2 linked regions of the Schizosaccharomyces pombe genome follow. The gene in region 1 interacts genetically with each later gene. Each region holds a gene or a part of one and is shown in the gene's direction. Other genes may lie near its edges.

The links.
Region 2: mutations in bag102 (region 1) and cdt2 together harm fitness less than expected from each alone (positive genetic interaction), as found in Schizosaccharomyces pombe (2 studies listed by BioGRID).

The regions. Positions count from the first base shown.
Region 1 is NC_003423.3:782,220-794,083, reverse strand, and holds bag102 (BAG family molecular chaperone regulator Bag102), read left to right. Parts: upstream 1-2,000; 5' UTR 2,001-2,204; coding exon 2,205-2,825; 3' UTR 2,826-3,420; downstream 3,421-11,864. Other genes in the region: Tea1-anchoring protein Mod5, read right to left, coding at 1-535, 764-823; protein ksh1, read left to right, coding at 3,844-3,846, 3,885-3,994, 4,067-4,118, 4,188-4,244; SPOM_SPBC530.02 (transporter), read right to left, coding at 4,781-6,406; GTPase-activating protein Gyp1, read right to left, coding at 7,427-8,971; CENP-A chaperone, NASP family, Sim3, read left to right, coding at 11,822-11,864. UniProt on the Schizosaccharomyces pombe protein: Inhibits the chaperone activity of HSP70/HSC70 by promoting substrate release.
Region 2 is NC_003424.3:2,033,668-2,042,060, reverse strand, and holds cdt2 (WD repeat protein Cdt2), read left to right. Parts: upstream 1-6,356; 5' UTR 6,357-6,410; coding exon 6,411-7,883; 3' UTR 7,884-8,105; downstream 8,106-8,393. Other genes in the region: U3 snoRNP-associated protein Snu13, read left to right, coding at 598-615, 766-1,125; SPOM_SPAC607.02C (uncharacterized protein), read left to right, coding at 1,657-1,712, 1,761-2,129, 2,176-2,446; mitotic cohesin complex non-SMC subunit Psc3, read right to left, coding at 2,541-2,945, 2,994-4,593, 4,644-5,053, 5,102-5,197, 5,236-5,348, 5,394-5,658; SPOM_SPAC17H9.18C (uncharacterized protein), read left to right, coding at 8,106-8,393. UniProt on the Schizosaccharomyces pombe protein: Substrate-specific adapter of a DCX (DDB1-CUL4-X-box) E3 ubiquitin-protein ligase complex required for DNA replication during mitosis and meiosis.

The DNA.
Region 1 (11,864 bases):
TATCAATTAATGCTGGAGATGCGCTTTTTGTCCTATAAGAGTATCTTCCCGGACGAGATGAGTCCTGTGATGCTTCCAATATTCTCCTTCGGCGCTCACTTCCAATGTCAAAGGTTCGAAAATTACTATTAAAAGATGATCTAGCTCCCTTGGCTGTTTCAGAGGGAGATCCTTCAATGCTAATATCCTCTGACGTTGAACCATTGGCACTTCTTTTTGGAGATTTAGACGCGCTTCTCTTTACATTAAACCCAGAAAACGTATTGGGAGAAAAAGACTTGTGGTAATTACTTGGAATATAAATACTACCTGCTGTAACAGGACGAGCATATCGATTTACGTATGCATCTCCGTCTGGATCTAGTACACTTGAACCAGTATCTTGCTTGCTGCTTGGCAATGGTAAAGAAAGACCTCGTTCAAAACTATCGGTATTATTTCTCCGGATAGCAGGAGTAGAAGGAGCACTTGTACCTACATTTCTATTATCGAATTGAAATCCGACGGTAGTGTTTGGTCGAGGTTTTTTTGATATCTAATCATTAATGCCAGCAAGCTGAACCCTTAACTAGTGAAAAGGGGGCAGCCCAAGCAACACTTGTTAGCAAATCATTATTTCAAACAGGCAAGATAGGGTAGTACTCGGAAAGAAAGGCTCCATTCAACAAATTGAACAGCTGCAATTTGCGTACAGGTGCAACTTTCATGTCTTACATAAAGAATAAGAGAAACTACCTCTGATCTTCTTAAAAAATTAGCATACCTCGGATGTCTCAGGTCTCCAAAAAGAAGGAATAGCAGGGCTTTCAGATAAAGCCGACATGCAATCAAATAAAAGAAAAAGATCAATTAGAGCCAAAAAAGAGAGTAAAAAGAATATCCAAAACTGGGAATTGGGAAACCGGTGTTTGGCTAACAATTAGTAGTACGCGGATCGCGACGCTAATTTCCTCAGTTGAGCTGGTATCGTGTTAAATATTTTGTAAAAGAATATTTCCCTCTTTTTAGTAATGTTCATGGAACAATTGGTGAAAAACATAATATTAAAAGGTCACAAGAAAATTTTTATAGCTAAAATATTCTTTTAAAAATAATTCGAGCAAGTTCTCAGGCAGGTGTAGGAAATAGATGGATATTTAATAGAAATTACCCTTGAGAGCAAATAGAGCTGATTCCTTTATCCATGTAAGATGGAAACATAACTTTTGACGTCCCCAAGAACATGCACTCTTAGATAGGTAAGCACATCAGTGATGGAGTAAGTGTTGATATATCCAGGTATTGCAGACGAGTAACAATAATGAAAGTTGAAATGGAGAATTGTTTACAGCATGATATCCTGTTCTTCAATTTTTATGCAATTTGAGTCCCCAACAATTGAATCGATCAAATGGGAGAACCCACTAAATTATTGAAGAGTATTTTGAAAAAATAGTTGAGGTATAAAATACCCAAGAATTCAACCATTAAACGATAAAATCAACCGAGAATGCGCTTTTGCTGATATGAATTTATATGAAACTTCTTCTTTGCTTTTCAGAATAAAGTTATACATACAAATAAACAATTATTTACGCCGAAAGCAATCAAAGATCCTTAGAGTATTACTTATTCTCTTAAAAAAAATTAGAGCATTACTACTTCTGGTTAAAGTCAGATTCACACTTTGTTCAATTATCAAACACATCCCATGGATTGCTTTTTTCGGTACCTTCCTTGTCAAAGAAACAAAAATTAAACTTAAAAAGAGAAAAAACAAGATCTTTACGAAACTGAATTAGTTTAATTTGATGCATGAACGTAAATGATAACTAGATATTTGAGGTCAACATGTCAGTCTACTGCAGCAGAAGTTTTAACAAAAACAAAAAGAATAAGATTTTGGCAACAAACAGCTTTTTTTTTTTTTAATTATCATTTTTCGGACTTATCATGTTTGTATAGGAGAAACTCACATTTCAAAGAATTCATAACACTATCATCTCCACAACCTACATAGTAACCACCAAATGCGAAATTGGTTCGAGAGCAACTCACCAATTTAAAACATCCTCTCTCTTATCTAGCAATTAAATTTTTATATACCAGTTCCTTCATTTACCAAGGAAATCTGATAAAGACCCAGACTTATTTAGTCTTGCTTATTGACCGGTTTATCACTTCTTCATTCATTTGACTTTAGGAAAAAGCATCGAGAAATCAACATGTCTTTTTTTACCCAGTTGTGTTCTATGGATAAAAAATATTGGATCTCTCTAGCTGTATTGTCAGTTACTGTTTTGATTAGCGCATTATTGAAAAAGAGAGCTACTGAAACCGAAGATATTGTCGTTGTTCATTACGATGGCGAAAAGTTGAATTTTGTGTTGCGACAACCAAGGCTGAATATGGTTTCTTACACTAGTTTTCTTCGTCGCGTGTGCAACGCATTTTCAGTAATGCCCGACAAAGCGTCTCTCAAGTTAAACGGGGTGACCCTCAAGGATGGTTCACTTTCCGACCAAAATGTGCAAAATGGAAGTGAATTAGAGCTCGAATTACCCAAACTGAGCCCGGCAATGCAACAAATTGAAGCATATATAGATGAGCTTCAACAGGATCTCGTCCCTAAAATTGAAGCCTTCTGCCAATCGTCTCCCGCTTCGGCACAAGATGTTCAAGATTTGCATACACGCCTTAGTGAAACATTGTTGGCTAGGATGATAAAATTAGATGCTGTTAATGTTGAAGACGACCCAGAAGCTCGTCTTAAAAGAAAAGAAGCTATTCGTTTATCTCAACAATATTTGAGTAAACTAGATTCCACCAAGAATCAAAACAAATGAAAAATGTGTTATAATTTAACAATTCTTAGTTGCTTGGGAGACGATGGTTCCGTCGGCTATGGTTTTTTGGATATGTAAAAACTGATTGACTAAACAACTCCTACAATATTTTTCCGTTTCTAACAACTTCTATACCAAGGTTCTGCAAACAACTTGTAGCACCCAATTTTAAGTTTTTATGCTGGCTTGAATTTTTGTTTTTCTTTTTTTGATACCGCTTGCTCCTCAACTATTAAACTGTTCTACTCTCAATTTATACATAATCTTTAAGCATTCATAATGCCATATTTTCTATTTTTGTCGTTACAACTGTTTTTTCTTACATTTGCTCAACTGCAGCCGTATCATTAATTTTTGTAAACATTCGTCATTGCTTTTTGTTTCTTCCGGAAGGTTGGATAGTCATAGTGTTACAAATTCAAAATACTTTTTCTTATGATAAATGGATTTCAAAACTGTATACCAATTCTAGCATATCAACTCCACATCCTTTACTTCCTTCGTAATCACTTAACAAAAACTCAACGTTCCAATGTTTTATACCATTAATATCGAAGAGTGAAATTTAGAACAGCTGGTTATTTTGAAATTTAAGAACCATGTCTATTTAAAACTAAGGTTAAAAGTATTTTATCATTATTATTTGACTTGACTGCATCGTCAATGTATTATGTAGACTTATTAAACGTTACTCAATATTTATGTAACATGTTTTCCCCTTTCCCATTTATAAATAGTTTAATTTCCTCAAATACTTTATACAGCCCTCCTGAAAAGTCATACATATATTAGCATTTGTCCACCAACATTCAATATATTTTTAATATTATATATCGGTATTTATCGGTGTATCAGAACACGAATAATATGCGTTGTAATTCGTAATAAATATTTACAACGTCTTGTGTGTCGTAATGTGAACAAGTGAGCATACTTCAAGTTCATTGTATGTTTCATATATGAACACAGAAATTACATGCTTTTTAAAAGCTGAAAATTTTAATCAGAGTATAATAAAATGGTAACTATTTTTGTTTTAAGACAAACATTAACCGTTAGACTGCCATTTTTAACTTTGAAAGTTTGCTTTTCGTTATACTATTAACGATCTGCACATGTACTTATTTACACCGTCAATTCCCTGCTTTATTAGAAAAAAGAAAAGAAGGGTAAGCCTAAATGATTATTAGATATATAATATTTTAGTTTTGAGGGATATGGAATTGCTAATAAGTTGACAGCGTGACAATGGTATTCTGGAAATGCGCTCGAATTGGTGAGCGAGCTAGTCCGGTGAGTTTTAGCTATTTCACTAGCTAATTATCCTTTTTAAAAAAGGCTAGATCTAACATCTATCTTTAGTATATATCACTATTTTGTGTTTTTATGGCTTTACGATTTATTTTCGGTTCCTCATAAGTTATTAAAATTTTAGCTTTCTGGCTAGCTTATGACAGTGAAGAGAAGAAAATACTTTACAAACAGTTTTATTTCTTTTGCTTACACTTTTCATTTCTAAATAGCTGGTAATCAAGAATAATTCGACCTTTTTGTCGTTTATGTTGCACAAATCCATCCCGCACGAAAATTATTATATCAATTCTACGCCCATTTCATTCTTTCATCCTTATATTACCTTTTTACTCACATCCATTTTCATATCTTTATACGCCTGTGTCTATTGTGTTAATAAAAGATGTTAACTGTAAAGAATAACATATAAACAAGATGGATTGGTTGATTTTTGATTTCGATCTATCTATCAGTATAACTCTCATTTACTATAAAAACTAGAATAACACCCTGTTATGGCTTGTTCATATTGACTTCTGACCGATTTGGGTATCGTTTATTTAATTACTTAATTCAATTGCTTAAAATGTATCAAGCAAACCAAGGCACAATTATCCTAAAGCTGCGAAATCTATTGTACTAATGGTTGTGAATAGTAGTACTCACAACTTGTATGCGTGTTTACTCAAACCACGAATTTTTTTTCCATATATAAAAAATAAAAACGGTATAGGAATCATTCCTACTGAAATAAAACCAAGTAAACTAGTTGCCCAATGGTCTCCTAAATTCACATACATGGGCCTGCCTACTAGACTCATTCCTCCACTAGCTGCATAACGGACAAGCGTAGCAGCAGCTAAAGCACTTGCAGCCAGTTTTTGATAGGAATCAATTATGTAATTATAGGAAACAAAAAATACAAACAAAAGCGACCAGCCAAAGAAGATACTTGATATCAATGGAACTATCCAATGCACGTAAGGATGGTATGGGTAACAGGTCCATGCAAACCAAAACATGGAAATCGGTAGCATTATGGATCCAAAGAAAAGAGGGTATAGACGGTCTTCTGGAGACATAACCCCATTCCTTCTTGTATAAACTCGATTGTAGTGTACGTAGATGATGGGCGTGCAGGCACCTGCTAAAACAATACCTATTCCAATTCCAATAAACGATAAACCAATTTCTCCCTGATCGAAAGAGTACTTGGCAAATACTATAGGGTAGCCTTCAAAGTCAATATAACCAATGATGTACACGACAGTCAGATAAAGTGTAAAGCAGACTACAATAGGTTCGGTAATCAATAAAGAGACAGAATCAGTACAAGCTTGATATATTGCACTCCTTGGATTCCGCTGTCTTTCGTGAATGGTATGCCATTTCATATTTCTGGTCTTATTACGCAGATACCGAGCTTTATAGTCTAAAATGGTATCCCCATGAGTTTCCGGCATGAAGAAAAAAATAATGACAATTACCACGGCTCCCATGATCATATTTATCCAAAACACCCAACACCAACCCAAGTAGCTCTGACAAATAAAATCACCAATGATGGGTCCAAAAATGGGGCCAAGAAAAGGGAAGGTGCAAAAGCCAGGAAGTACATACGTTCTTTGTATGGGAGTAAATAAATCACTTAGAGTACCACCGCAATTTGATAAAGGCGTACTACCGAAAAATCCTTGAAAAAAACGTAAAATAACCAATGTCCATATATTTTGTGCGCAACCTCCACCAATTTGAAATAGGGTAAACATCAACAACGTACAAAAATAAACAACAAATCTTCCATAGATACCACTGAGAGGAGCAAATGGTAACGATCCAAACCCGAAGCCAACCAAGAAGACACAAGAGCCTAAAGAAGAAACAGAAATCGATACCCCAAAGTCCATTGAAACATTACCGATACCTGAAGAGTATACGCTCGATCCAAAAGTTACCACAAATGCTATTAAGGATATTTGAACTACAACAATCCATTTCTTCCACATTGGCCAATTTTTGGGATTTAAGGGATCATCAATGCTATCCCATCTTACTAAATAAAAATCACTTACATCCTCGGAGCTCTCTTCAAAAGTAACACCGCATTTTTGAATTTCAGGCATTACTGTTCCTAATGAAACCACCATTTTACGGGTAGCGTCAATAGCACCAACAACACCTTCATTCAATGCATTTCCAACATCCTTCACATTTACTCCGTTATTGGATATACAGTCAGACTTTACAACCCCAAACTTTCTGCCGCTTGCTAAAAGATACAGATCCATTTCTTTCTTATCGCTTAATTTGCGCTCCTAAGCCAGACGTAGAGGTAATAGGCAAAGTCTCCCTTATATAGTAAATATAGTTTGAAAAACAGTCACTGCAAATGCTGTTGTGGTAAGCAGTTGCAAAATCAGCATGAAAAAGCTATGAGTATTGAAATTTAAAAGATAAGAAATTGATCCTATAGTTATAAATAAATGATTTCTTCTTCATGAAAAGTAATACAATGATTCTATAACGCAATGGAACGTGCTTCTTTATTTCAGTTCAAAAACTGTATTAAGTTGTATAAATATTCAAAAATTGTCACAGCGTTTTCATTATCTACTCTAATTCATCCATACATTTTGGTCGAATCAAGGAAGAAGACACAGACCATGTAGTACAGTCTTGTCGATTTTCATCATCTCTTACCAATACAAAAGTCGTACTTTGAAATCGTAATGTACAATCTTGGATAAAACCAAAGAAAACATGACTAGCATAGAAGAGAAAAAAAAATGATATTAATAACGATTCATGTAAAGTATCACGCCATGGACTAAACAATCGTTGAATAGTAAAGTAGTAACGTAAGTCAAACTGGAAAAGGGTTAGAGAACGGTCGAACGTAAGAGTAAAGACAAATTACATATAAGTAATAGTGAATATACAATTTAATTCAAGGGTTAATAACTTCCCAAAAATGATTAAGGTAGTTCAGACTTTCTTCAAGAGAAATACTTTATCCTGCATGATAAATTCTAAAAGTCGCAAACTCAATCCAGCTGAGTTAAGGAGCAAACTTGAAAAGTTATTTAGGTGAATGAAAGGAAAATTTATTAGAAGAAGTAAGACTTAGACTCATAAGCTCATAAACATAGAAAAGCAACACAATGAATTAACGAAGGAGATTTGTCAACCTAATTATAAAAATGCATAGGAAGGATGGCATTTGAAAAAGGCTGCTATGCCAAAATAAGCAAGGGATTAAGGAAGAAGACGAATGCTCTGAAAAGGGAAAACGAAATGGCTACTATGCCTTACCTTTTCAAATGTGCACCAGCTCCACTGTACAATGATTTCCATAGGAAAGCTTCAGATAGTAAAATTTCGATATCCTTTGTGCTCCAATCTTTTGTCGGAATAGACTGCAGAAAAATTAATATATCCTGAAATTCCATCTTTTGTAATTCACTCGACCATTTCACTAAAAATGCAGCACATACGTAGAGGTGAAACTCAGAAAATCCTTGGACACCTTCCGCCATGTATGTATCCCACATCCGAATGATATTCGAAATACTAAGCTCGCGCATTAAAAGACAGTTCATCCAGCGAAAACTAAACTGAAGGAAATCAACACCCTCCATTTGAAGATGTTTTACTAATGGCTCATCTATACGTAAAGTAAGCTCTCGCAGATTATTCACCTGTCGACGGATTCCAGGCTGTGCATGTATATAGTTATCTTGGATACCATCTAACAATTTAGAAAGACACCAGTAAGCATCAGCCTCAATATCATTACGATTAGTTTCATCAAGAAGAGCAATGTCATATGTCATTGGGTCCTTATCGCCGATATATTCGGACAAAAACACCTGAATAAAAGGAGTAACTAAATCGCTGATGCCTTGTACATATCCGCTGGCTGGGTGCCGTGAGGCCCAAACATATAAAATACGCTCAAGCATACGCTGCGTCAATGGGTTTTGGTAAAGAAGAATAGAGGGGTTCGTCCTCGGAACGTCAAGGACAATTTGTCGCCAAATAGTTTGATCCAAAGGTGGTGGCTCTGTATTTGTATTAAAGCAGGAATCTTTTGCTGCGTTATATTCGTCTCTCTTTCGCTTTAAAGTGACTTCACGACGAGAAGCATTACAAGGTAAATATCCTAACAAGTATTTCCAGACAATAGGTCTATGTTCGGAGGGAATTCCATTCCAAGCCAATGTACGAAGCGCATTTAAATCCACAATTGGAGCATCAAGAATTCGCGAAAACTTCTTGATCCGAGAGACAAGCGCATTGCTTTCAGCAACCTCAACTTCTACAGAACGATGGGCTAGTTTAGCGGGTAAAGGAAAACGACCAGACGAATGAAGCTTTTGTCTAGAAGTGGTAGTATCCACGCCATTTTGAGGAAATAAGGAGCGGCTTGAAGAATTTGGAGTAGTACTTCGAGCCATACGAGGAAGAGATTTTGAGGCTTTAATATTCGAAACTCCCCAATCGTCATCTGTCTGTGACAAATATTTGGCAAACTTTGCAGACACTTTTTTGCCTACAACAGCTTCCAAGGAAAGAGAAGATCTCGCAGAAGGTGCATAGATTTTAGACTCACTAGCAGATTCGGGTCTAGTTATGGACCGGGCCAAAGAGATATGATCTTTTGGGGGTTGATCTGAGTAAACAGAGTCGTCCAATCTGAACGGTTGAGCTTTGGAAGAAGTGCTTCGACCACGATGGTGATGGGTCCGGCTTCGATCCAAAACAGTAACTGGATCCGAAGTGGCGCTAGAGGATCCATTCCATAAGCTGGAGAGAGTTTTTAAGGCGGACGACTTTTTTGACTGAGATTCCATAGTGGAAAATCTTAAAATACGAGAAGAAAAATTGTTTTTACAAAATGAAGCAGTAATTTGATAGCCTTGATGGACACAACAAATTTAGCAAATAACAGATACTCTTTGAATTTATCGCCAAAATAAAATACTTTTGGTTAAGATGCAAAAAACAGTTTCAAAATTTGCTGTAAAAAGTAGATGAAACGTTTTAGAAGGCAATAACTTCAAATGTTTAACGACGAAGGATCTTAGGCACCACTCATAGACTTACCGGACTTGAAGTCTTATTCTTTTCTTATCAAATGAAAACTATTTTCAAAAAAAAAAAACTTAAGCTATTAGAAGCAAAGCCGTGTCTGTGGGTTCCATCCAAACGAAAACGCACCAGCTCGAGATCTTGTGATCTATTAGAACAGCGCGGAATTTGAACACGAACAAATGTTTCGAGAAAACCTTAGATACAATCCAATACACTAGTATATTTACAAATTTTAACCGAATATCAACGAAATTGTGAAGATTTACTCGGTCTGTGCAGTTGCCAAGGCAGTTGCCCTTATTTGGTGGAAGAACAAAACAATAGGGAGGAAAACAGTAGGTGTATGGAGTTTCTTATATATGAGGTTTTTTTAATAAAAGGAGCAAGGTTTAATACTTTAATTATTTATCTCACTTTTTAGTTAAAGGAAATTCGTTTTAAGCCATGAACAGTTGATAGAAGGATTTTGGCCGTGCATGGTCTTATTGCTTGGGAATGTTGGGTTTATATGCGCAGAGTAGTAAAAGATACACAGCTAGGTCTCATTTAACAATGTTTATATCTATGAGTTCTATCTCTTCTTTACTTAAGTTGCTGCCAGTAAAAGTGAACAATGTAATTTTGACAATTGTGACTAGTCGCTTTTCAAAACAAAAAAGAGAAAAGTATAAACGTTGATTAAGAAACGTAAAAAAGTATTTCCTGTCAATAATGAATCTCTGATTTTATTGTTATTTTTCGTATTGACATCCTAGTTACCTAATATAATACGATGAATTATAAGCATTTTAATACCTACTAAGTTTAAATTTTCCTGAAATACAGTCTAAGATTTTCCTGTTCCTATATATTTCTAACAAAACACATTTTTCAAGTAGATGATCAACGAATCTAGTCTAACTTTCAATCCCAGTCTTTTTTTTAGCAGTTTCGGGTATTTGTTTTCAAACATGTATTTATATCTTTGATTCAGTAAAATTACTTCAACAAATGCATTGAAGAGGAATGATTTAAAAAACATATACGGTTTTCAATGTTTTAATGAACAGAGCAATTTTCCAAATGTTGTCTTGTCAAGAAATTGTAATGTATGTTCTCCAAAACTGACATGAGAACAAAATAAATATGTACTAAGATAAATTTTATATTGAGAACAATCAAAAATTATAGTAAGTTTAATAATCATCCAAAAAACACTTTCCTTCTCTCGTTTACATCTTGGAAAACACTCTAGAGTATCGTTATTCATTGTGATGAAATCGAAACTACAACTCCAATCCAATAATAAAGGTTACTGTATGACAATAAAATAAACCATACATCTTCCCTTTAAGTCGTATTACGACTTGTAAGAAGATTTCCTGGTTGCCAAAATATCATTCATAGTACACAATAATATTATGTGCAAAGGTATTGAAATGAATAAGTACGAATCAAGGTAAATGATTATTATTCCCAAATGAGCTCAAACAAAAAGCAAAAAGAATAAAAGGAAGCCTACAGCACCCCGGATTCCCATGTTGTCTCCAACCATAGTACTAACGAGGCCCTCAGACGCTTAACTGCAGTGATCGGACGGGAACTGGTGTTTTCGCCTAGGTATGGCCGTAGACGTTTAAAGTAGAATATTTAAACATTTTAAAGAAAAAATTAATAATCAGTCAGAGTACTGTCGATTCACTAGAAATTTTCTATTTATTGTTTATATATTCATACAGTAAGATCGTGAAGTATTCAAATCCTTGGTATATAGAATATTATCTTCATGCATTCAAAGATCGTTTAGGAGCTATTTGTACAAGCTACTTGGTGCATATTTGTCTGTTTATATTGCAAAGTCAAGAATTTTAACATAGAGAAAGAATAAAATGAAATGGAATAAAGAAATGTTAAATAATGTTATGAATCAGACTTGTTCTTGAATTGCTAGTCATAACAACTTCTATAAGACTCAACACGTTTACGCGCTTTTTATGAATGTAATACGTTAGACAAATTAAATAGACAAGTACAGTCTATGTGTCATTGACTCAACACTTAAGCATTTATATGATCTACAAAGATGAAGTCTATAACATGATCTATCACGTATTATGAATGCTTAGCCATGGCTGCTTTAAGAAGATCATCTTTTAATCCATAAAACAACATTGTTTTGGCACGAAGCGAATGATCCGTTTTGCTTCGCTTTGCTGGAATAAAAATGAAGCTGTCAGAACGAATCCTATACATCGTTAAAATAGAGTTATTAACAAAGGAAAACAAATAAGTTCAATTTGTTGCTCTTGTTATGCCATCAAACGCTCGCCTATATACGCTTCATCTTACTCCCATTACTTGCCAATGCTAATAGATTCATACATCTGCAAAGGCTCACCTCTACTTATTAAGAACAAAACAGAGTGGTTTTAACTCATTATCTATTAGGAGAAAAAGCCAGAATATATTTTTATTAATATTTCTAATCTAAAAAAGTGAATTATCGAGTCGTTTTTTCTTTTTCACTATTCAGTCTGTTGGGTCACTTTGGTAGACCTAGCGTAATATCTAATTGTCGTACCTATTACTTGAAGTCTTGAACTTCATAATTTTTAAAAGTTACGCGAAAAATGTCTTCTGATACGAAAACACTGGAAAATAGCAAAGGCAATA
Region 2 (8,393 bases), on another chromosome or scaffold:
AACCTATATTCCAAACCACTAAGGGAAAATATTTTAGCTAAATTACAATTTACACACTTTCAATAGTATGTACCAGGGCTTTTTTTTTTTTTTTTTTTTTTTTTTTTTTTTTAGGACAAATTATATGTACTTTGCTAAAATTTAAAAGTTAAATAGTAGATTATTAGCAACTTCTTTTTTGCTAAGTCCATAGACTATATAACAATACAGCTCTCAATCAGATATGCAGTTCCAACTTTTTTTAATGTTATTATATTCTGTTAAATATGGTAAACAATGTCCAATTGAAGAATGCCTGCTCAATAGAAATAAACTCACCAATCTGATTTATAGTTTTGAGTCCTCCATATTCATAGTGTAATGCCAAGAAACAATTAAGATTATTAATGTGCATAAATTTCTTAGAATTCCAAATTTAAGCAAATTTGGATTAATTTTCCAAGTTACATTGATCGAAGGATCGACTAACGTTGATGTTGTTACTTGTACTTTTGGACTACAGCTAAAGTGAAGTTTACTAAAGAAAATTTCTTAGCAAGGGCGAGCAACCACCATTGTAGGTCAGATACTACTTTTTACAGCAAGGAACCCGAAAAAATGTCAGTTAACCCAAAGGTATGTTAATAATGGTATAAGACTTCTTCTTTGGCTACGAAATAGCTGAAAGCATGCTAGTTTCAAATGCTAGTTTCGTCGGCAATTTTATTACGGAAAATGAACTTTTCCGAAATTTATATTCGTTTTATTGCATACTAACATTGTTAGGCCTTTCCTTTAGCCGATTCTGGCTTAACCCAACAAATTCTCGACTTGGTACAACAGGCCTCTCATTACAAGCAGCTTCGCAAAGGTGCAAATGAGGCTACCAAAACCTTGAACCGTGGTATTAGTGAATTTATAGTAATGGCGGCTGATACCGAGCCCATAGAGATTTTATTGCATCTGCCATTGCTTTGTGAGGACAAGAATGTGCCTTATGTTTTTGTTCCTAGCAAGGCTGCTTTGGGACGTGCTTGTGGTGTAAGTAGACCGGTGATTTCAGCCAGCATTACTACCAATGAGGCTAGTGATTTACTTCCTCAAATTCAAGCTATTAAATTGGCAATAGAGAAATTGCTCATCTAAACTTTTGGATTTTGGGAACAGTTTTCTTTTAATCGAGAATAAAATTTGATTCTTATGGAAGCAGATTGTTATCGAATTTTTTATTTTGTTATTGTAATTTTGTACTGTTTCGCTTTCTATATAATTTCAAGTACTCTGTTTGTAGTCATTTTAATTTTTATTAATTAGCTCGCAAAATACTCAACAAGAAAGATAGTTGAGTGTTTACATATAAGAGCATTACGATTTTAATAAAGATAGTGTATATTTGGTGTTTGATATATATATTTTTTAATATATTTTTCGTGTATGATTCGAAAAGTATCTTCACTAAGCTTGCTTCCAACTTGATTCTGAAATTTTTTCTCTCTAAAGCGTTACAGCTTGTCCACTAAAATAAAAAAAGATATTTGTATTCATTAATAAACTTTACTGTTATCCCATGAGTATCTATTAAAACAAATCCAAATTTATCTAAATTGCGATACGAGCTAGGCTCGCTATTTTCCTTTATTACTTGCTTCTCGTTTGTGTTTACTATCCAAGCGCAATATGCCTACTAAGACTAAGAAAAGGTCCGTTCTTGAGGCTGAACGGAAAAAGATTGGGTAAAAAATTTCTATAGCAAGATGTTTTTACTAACATTTGGTTAATAGACTCGATCATGCTCCCAAGGAGGATGAAAGTGTAGATGACAACTTCCCAAAGCAATTCAAGCGATTGCTACAGCAAAAAGAGTACCATGAATCTAAAAAGAAGGAAATAAAGAAAGGCAACCTTAAAAATAAGAAAAAAAAAGATTATGGGAAAATTCAAAGATTACCCGGTGAACGCCTTAGTGAATTTAGTCAGCGCGTAAATAAGGCTATTCCAGTATCTTTTAAGTCTGGGCCGAGCAAAATAGACGAATTTACTGATAAAAAAGAAAAGAAAAAAATAGCGAAAAGAAAAGAGAAGCGTGAAAGAGACTGGAATGAAATTGAGGAAAATTTTGAAGATAAAACATGGGAGGCGGATACTACTGGGTATGTGTATATCACCAATTTCATTTCGTATAAACTAACATATTAGACAATTTATCCAAATTGAGTCTAGAAAAAAACGAAAAAATTCGCCTGATCCGTGGGCTAATTTACAAACAAAACCTTCCTTTGGAGAAACTGTGCAAGCTCCTCCTGAACTTCCGGAATTAAAAATTAAAGAGACAAAGTACTTGGAAAATGTTCCCAAAGTTAATAATATGGGTCAAACAGAATCTATGGCACGACGCCAAGCTCTAGGAAAGCAGCGTTTGGAACTTATAGAGAAATATAGAGAATTAATGAAAACCAAGCGGAAATAATCTTTTTAATAATGAAAAAAGAATTTATTTCTAATGCTGACTTAAAAATAATTAATTACTTTAAATATACAGCAGGCATTAAATCTAAATTTAATTAATTCAAAAACTCATCCACAATAGCAGATAATTTCGGTCCATAGTGCCCTCTTAGTTCACAAAACTGTTGTGAAAATTCTGGTGTTATCGTATTTGACAATGAAACAACTATTAATAATTTACTAGTCAAATCGCAACATACATGTTCCAATAGCCTTCTATTAAGTGGATTTTTGTCCAAAGAAATTTGTGTATGTGGAGAACTTGCTTGAGTCAAACGCTTGAAGGGGAATTGACCAACTTTGGCATATGTGTATAACCATCCCTCAAGTATTTTTAAAAGAGCATCTAAAAATTGAGGTTTTAAAAAGTTATGCTCCTCAGATACACGATTGTCATCGTTGTAATGTGATGCTTTAACACCTTCTTTCATTATCACTGTTTCCAGAAAAGTTCGGGCTGCCTGGTCAAGTTAGTTTCTTAAATCAAATAATAAGTTGATTTTGTATACCTGAAGTTGCAAAATTTTAGAGCTGTCATTATTCATAATATTAATCAAACAATTAAAAACTTTAGTCTCATCATCCTTCTTTTTTTCCTCATCAGCAGGGTTATCCTTCCTTAGAAAGAACCAAAACAATAGACTCTGTAAAGTATTAATTGCAGAAAACTTCAATGTATCTTCATAGCTATTAGGAACCCGCGAAAGAAGCGAAACAAGCCTTTCATATATTATGTCAAACTCAGGATAGTCAGAAAAATCTTTGAGAGAGGTACATCCCTCGATTCTTGTTAAACAAGCTTCAAAAATAACAAATTCATCTTTTGTTATTACAGCATCTTGAATATTAAAAGATCCAAAATTCTTTAAAAATTCGGTTACCGTCTGGTCGCAAATGTCAGTAACCAGAAGCTTCAAATCTTCTTTCAAAGCAGGAATAGAGTCCAACCGTAAAAATAATATCGTGCAACCTTGAATAATTTGAAGATCATTATTGGTTAGGAAAAATTTTTTTAAATTATTAATTAGAAGTTCAAAATGTCTGGAAAGTTGAGGGTCTGTCATTTCTGTCAAATCCATTGAGAATAACAAACGAAGAGAATCATGAAGAAGTGTTGGTGAAGCAGAATTTCTCTCAGTTATTGAATTAATGTAAGGAAGAAGATTCAAATAAAGTAAGTCCTTATCTTTATTTTGATCGTTGGTCGTTTCCGCCGCTTGCTTATTATGCACCGTTTTAGGTGTGATAAAATTGTTATTACAGACAGTTTGGATTGAAGCAGAGAGAAGCTGTAAAAGAATAGATTCCTGAAAATCATTTAGCTTGCAGAAAGAAAGTATACTGTCTATCGGATCTTTTAGAGTCGAGGTATAATTATCAAAAAGTACGAAGTTGCTAATATCCTCCCATGACTGATAGATTGAATCAATTTCACATGCATTAAGTAAAGCTTGTGTTATAGGAGTAATGAAATTACCATTTTTTTGGAAGATTCGTAATAATGTATCATAATCAAAGCTCGATTGGTAAGACAATCTAACCTCCTCCAAAAGTTTACACATTTGGGAAAATTTTATCCAATGAACTGAAAATGTAGTAAGTGAAGTCTGAGAAAAGGCCTTTAGAATATAGTCTTCTTCACCCCATAAATCAATTTTTTCATTCACACTTTCGTCAACCACTTTGCATAAAAACAGTACGGCTTCACGTTGCACCCTTGGATTGATATCTAAAATTAGCTTCAGCACTTTTAAAATTTCAGAATTTTCTAAAAATCCGCAAGTCCTCATAGCGTTACACAAACGAATGCTGGCTACACGAACTCCAATATCGGCGTCCACACAACTCATCTCGAGTATTCTTTCTTTAAATCTAGAAGAAAAATGTCTTAATCCACCAATAAATGAATCTGTCTCAAAAAATTTGCGCAAAACTTTAACTACAGTTAATCTGACGGTAGTGTTTATGTCTGAAAGCATCCATCCTAGGTATCTTAAATAACTTCCTGAAAAAAATATGCTTGGAACAGTATTAATCCAGACCCCAAGCTCTTGTAAGCAATCTACCCTTATTTTAGGCTCCACGTCTCGATATCGATGGACGAAGACACTAATATAAAGGTTAGTATAAATAAATTAAAGCGTTTGAGGGATCTTTACCTATCAAAGTAGTCATTTAAGTATGTAGTCAATGTATCTTGTTGCTTGACTATTTCACCAAGACTGTTATTAAGTTCGTTGATGCGATTTCTATTTACACGAGAGCGCTTTTCTTCTTTCTCGAGCTGTTTGGTAGCAATTGCATGCTCGTTCAATAGTTCTTTAGATTTTTCACATAAAAAAGTCATAATATTCAAACAGAAAACAGTGGCGGTGTGCCGAATAGGTCTCATCGTAGAAGAAGACATGGCAACGACCCAAGACATAATATCTTCAAAAACAGTGCTATTGTACAAGTAATTTCTTATTGACAACTGTGACACAAAGTTGCTTAAAAGACCGGTCAATCTCTTTCTGAAATTCCTAAACTTAAGATTTTTTGAATTTAAAGGATAATCACGAGTAGAAGTCTTAAAGTTGTTAATATACAAATAAAGTATTTTCGCAAAAGCACTTACACGCTCTACAGAAAGTTGAATTTGAGATAGAGTAGCTGAAGCAGAATCTTGATCCTGAACATCAAACACATTAATGGCACGATTGCAACCACAGCACTAAAATATTTAGTAAAGAAAGAAAAGAATGACTCTACCTTTAAAATAAAGTTAATAAGATTTGCAAGGGCAGATTGATTATCTTTTGCATAGTCAGCAAACCACGAAACCGCGATGTCCATGGTATCAACTTTTTGGTCAAGCAGAAAAGCTTTTCAGTGTTAGTAGCTGAAAAAAAGAAGGACTTTATCATTACCAAATAAGTTGTTAAAAATTTCTTCTTGAGGATCCTCTTCAACTATAGCGTTCCTCCTAGAGCGTTTTACATTTACTCCTTTAGAATTTGGCCGTGGATGCCGTTTTTTTGAGCTTATCGTTTTCTCGTAATCATCATCGCTATTTTCTTCAGAAGATGAATTTGAACTACTGCTCATGGGATCAAAACTTTGAGAAAGCATTACAGGGGAAGATTCTCTGTCTCCTCCATCATCATCAGATCCAGTAGTAACAGACTCACTCATTTGAAGAAAAAAAGAAATAATTTATAAATAAATTAAGAGGTGTAATTAGAAATATTGGAAAGAGTGTAATGAATGCACTATTGGTGTTGTACAATGGAGGTTGTTCACAACCTGTAGTTGATAAAAGCACGAACTTGTCTTGTTCAATAGTGTTAGACAGGATAAATGTGTTTGAAAATCCAAGGATACGAAAGGAAATTTATACTTAACGAAGTTATTACATTAAAATTTTCTTTACCTTGATTGAAACAAATATATACTATTTTCTTTTGGGTCCTGCAAGGTGAACAGCTAACTTATATTCACTCCGCGAGTTGAGATTGTAATTTGACTATACAAGTATAGAATTGTGAGTGAAAGATTCTTTTGACGCGTAATATTTTCGATTATTATTAATAAATGAGATATTTGACAACTTTTCGAGCGCTCATTATATCATAGGCAGAAATACGAAAGTCATCCTTTATGAAAAATTAACAAGTAATTAGAAAACTTTTATCCTTTTTATTTATTCCTCAAGAATTTTAGGCTGTACCCATCTGTAATTGCAAATATGCTTAAACATGACTTTGAAATACGCGTTTTGTTACTTTAACATATTCTGGGTAACGTTTGGTGCATGTGATGGATCACGGACGCGTCGCGTTCACGCGTCACGAAAATCTAATATACTCACGCTACCATCCACTACTTAAATTAAACTGGAACACACGACCTCAAAAGCGGATTAAATTAAGATTCATGATTATACCATGAATATGGACATTGGAAAAGCTTTGAGTGATGTTGGTGGGCTTCGAGATATTACCTCACGTGCAAATAACTCATTACCTCCGACTCCTGATTCTTCTCCCGCAGCACCTTCCAAAAAACATAAGCTTTACGACTTCCTAGAAAGCCGAGGAAAAATTGAAACACCTCGAAAACGCATTGTGTTTGAAAAGAAACCCCTGTTACACAAGCCAGTTCATATTCAAAAAAAACCTGCTCAACTTTGTAAAGAACTTTTAATCAGACAACTGGGAGGTTCCCGGTCGCACCCTTTTAGCACAAAAACTTCTCGTCATGTGGGAGGTAGACTCAATCTCGAAACATATTACTCACGACCTTCGGAATGCTTAATGATGCTGAACCAACTCCCGTTCTGTCTTGGATTTGCTAATAACGAGTCTTTATTGGCCGTATGTACTGAGACTGGAGCTCTTGAGCTGTTTGATTCTCGATTTTACGATAGACAGAATGAGGAAAATCAGCCGTCTGCTCGAAGAATCCATGGCTGGCTTGCTCACAACAATGCTATATTTAGTGTTAATTTCTCTAAAGATGATTCATTATTAGCTACTTCATCTGGCGATCAAACATCAAAGGTATTTGATTTGTCAACGCAACAATGCATCACTCGATTGGGACGACGAGGTGTCGATGGATACCACTCTCATTCAGTAAAGCAGGTTAATTTTTGCAATGATTCTCCTTATAATTTGGTAAGTTGTTCTCGGGATGGTTCCATTATCTTTTGGGATATGCGAACACACGGGATAACAATTGACGGTGAGCATTTTCAGAAACCAGTGTTAAGGATAAGAAAAGCACATGAAAATTCGGGAAGGGATTGCTCAATTACCTCAGCTACGTGGCTCCCTCAATCTACTTCGCAAGTTATATCGTCCTGCTCTGCAAACTCGGCCTTAAAGTTATGGGATTTACGAACTGTACATACCGTCCGACCTTTACCTGCTGCTACTACTCCCGAATTAACTACTTCAAAACGCGATTTTGGTGTTACTAATGTTTGTACTTCTCCTGACGGTGAGCGTATTTATGCTGCTTCCAGAGATAGTATCATTTATGAATATTCATCTCGTCACTTAAACTCCGGATTTTGCAAGACTTACAAAGACCCTAGACTCAGAATTTCTTCATTCTACGTAAAGTTGGCGTGCAGTCCTGACGGAGCAACTTTAGCCTGCGGTGGAGGCGTTCAAGACAAGACTAGTGGTGTTGTTGTTTTTGACACAACAAGAAACTGTTCATCGTCTGCTATGCTCACAGGTGGTCATACTAAGGATGTTACTGCAGTTGATTGGTCTAGTGAAGGTCAATTGGCAAGTATTTCAGACGATGGGAGCGTTCGCGTATGGAATTCTTCTCTGCATGGAAGTGCGGCTAACCTTAGAGAAAAGAATTTTTCGGAGATTTTTTATTGGGGATTTAGTGAAAAATGAAAATTATCACGCATAGCAATGTCTCAATATTCGGCTTGTTTCTCTTGAAAAGAAGACTATAAGTGAGGCTTCATAATATTTTGTCAAAAATAACGACTATTCCCTAATGCATTTGAATATTATTAGGATTCTTTCTTTTTCCATATCTATTTAATCCTTTGATTTGTCATTTTTTTGCTTCCGCTGGATGCTTTATAAGCTTTTTCTGTTTACCAAAGCTTAATGCATAAAATTAGTTTGCAATTTTTTTTTGTTGACAATTATTTTTTTTTTTGGAAGCAATCAAAATACCAGTCAATATATGCAATCCAAATTAGATGTTTTTTCCTCACCGTTAATCGAACTCCTATTCCTAAACAAACGTTCAGTTTAATAGTTTTTTATATACTAATAATGATTATTCAACACTTAAAAGAAATCCATTATTTAATCAGCGCTAGCGCTAAATTATTACTAGCAAGCAACTATTTACTAGAACTTCTTATTTCTCATAATATACAATTTAGCCCT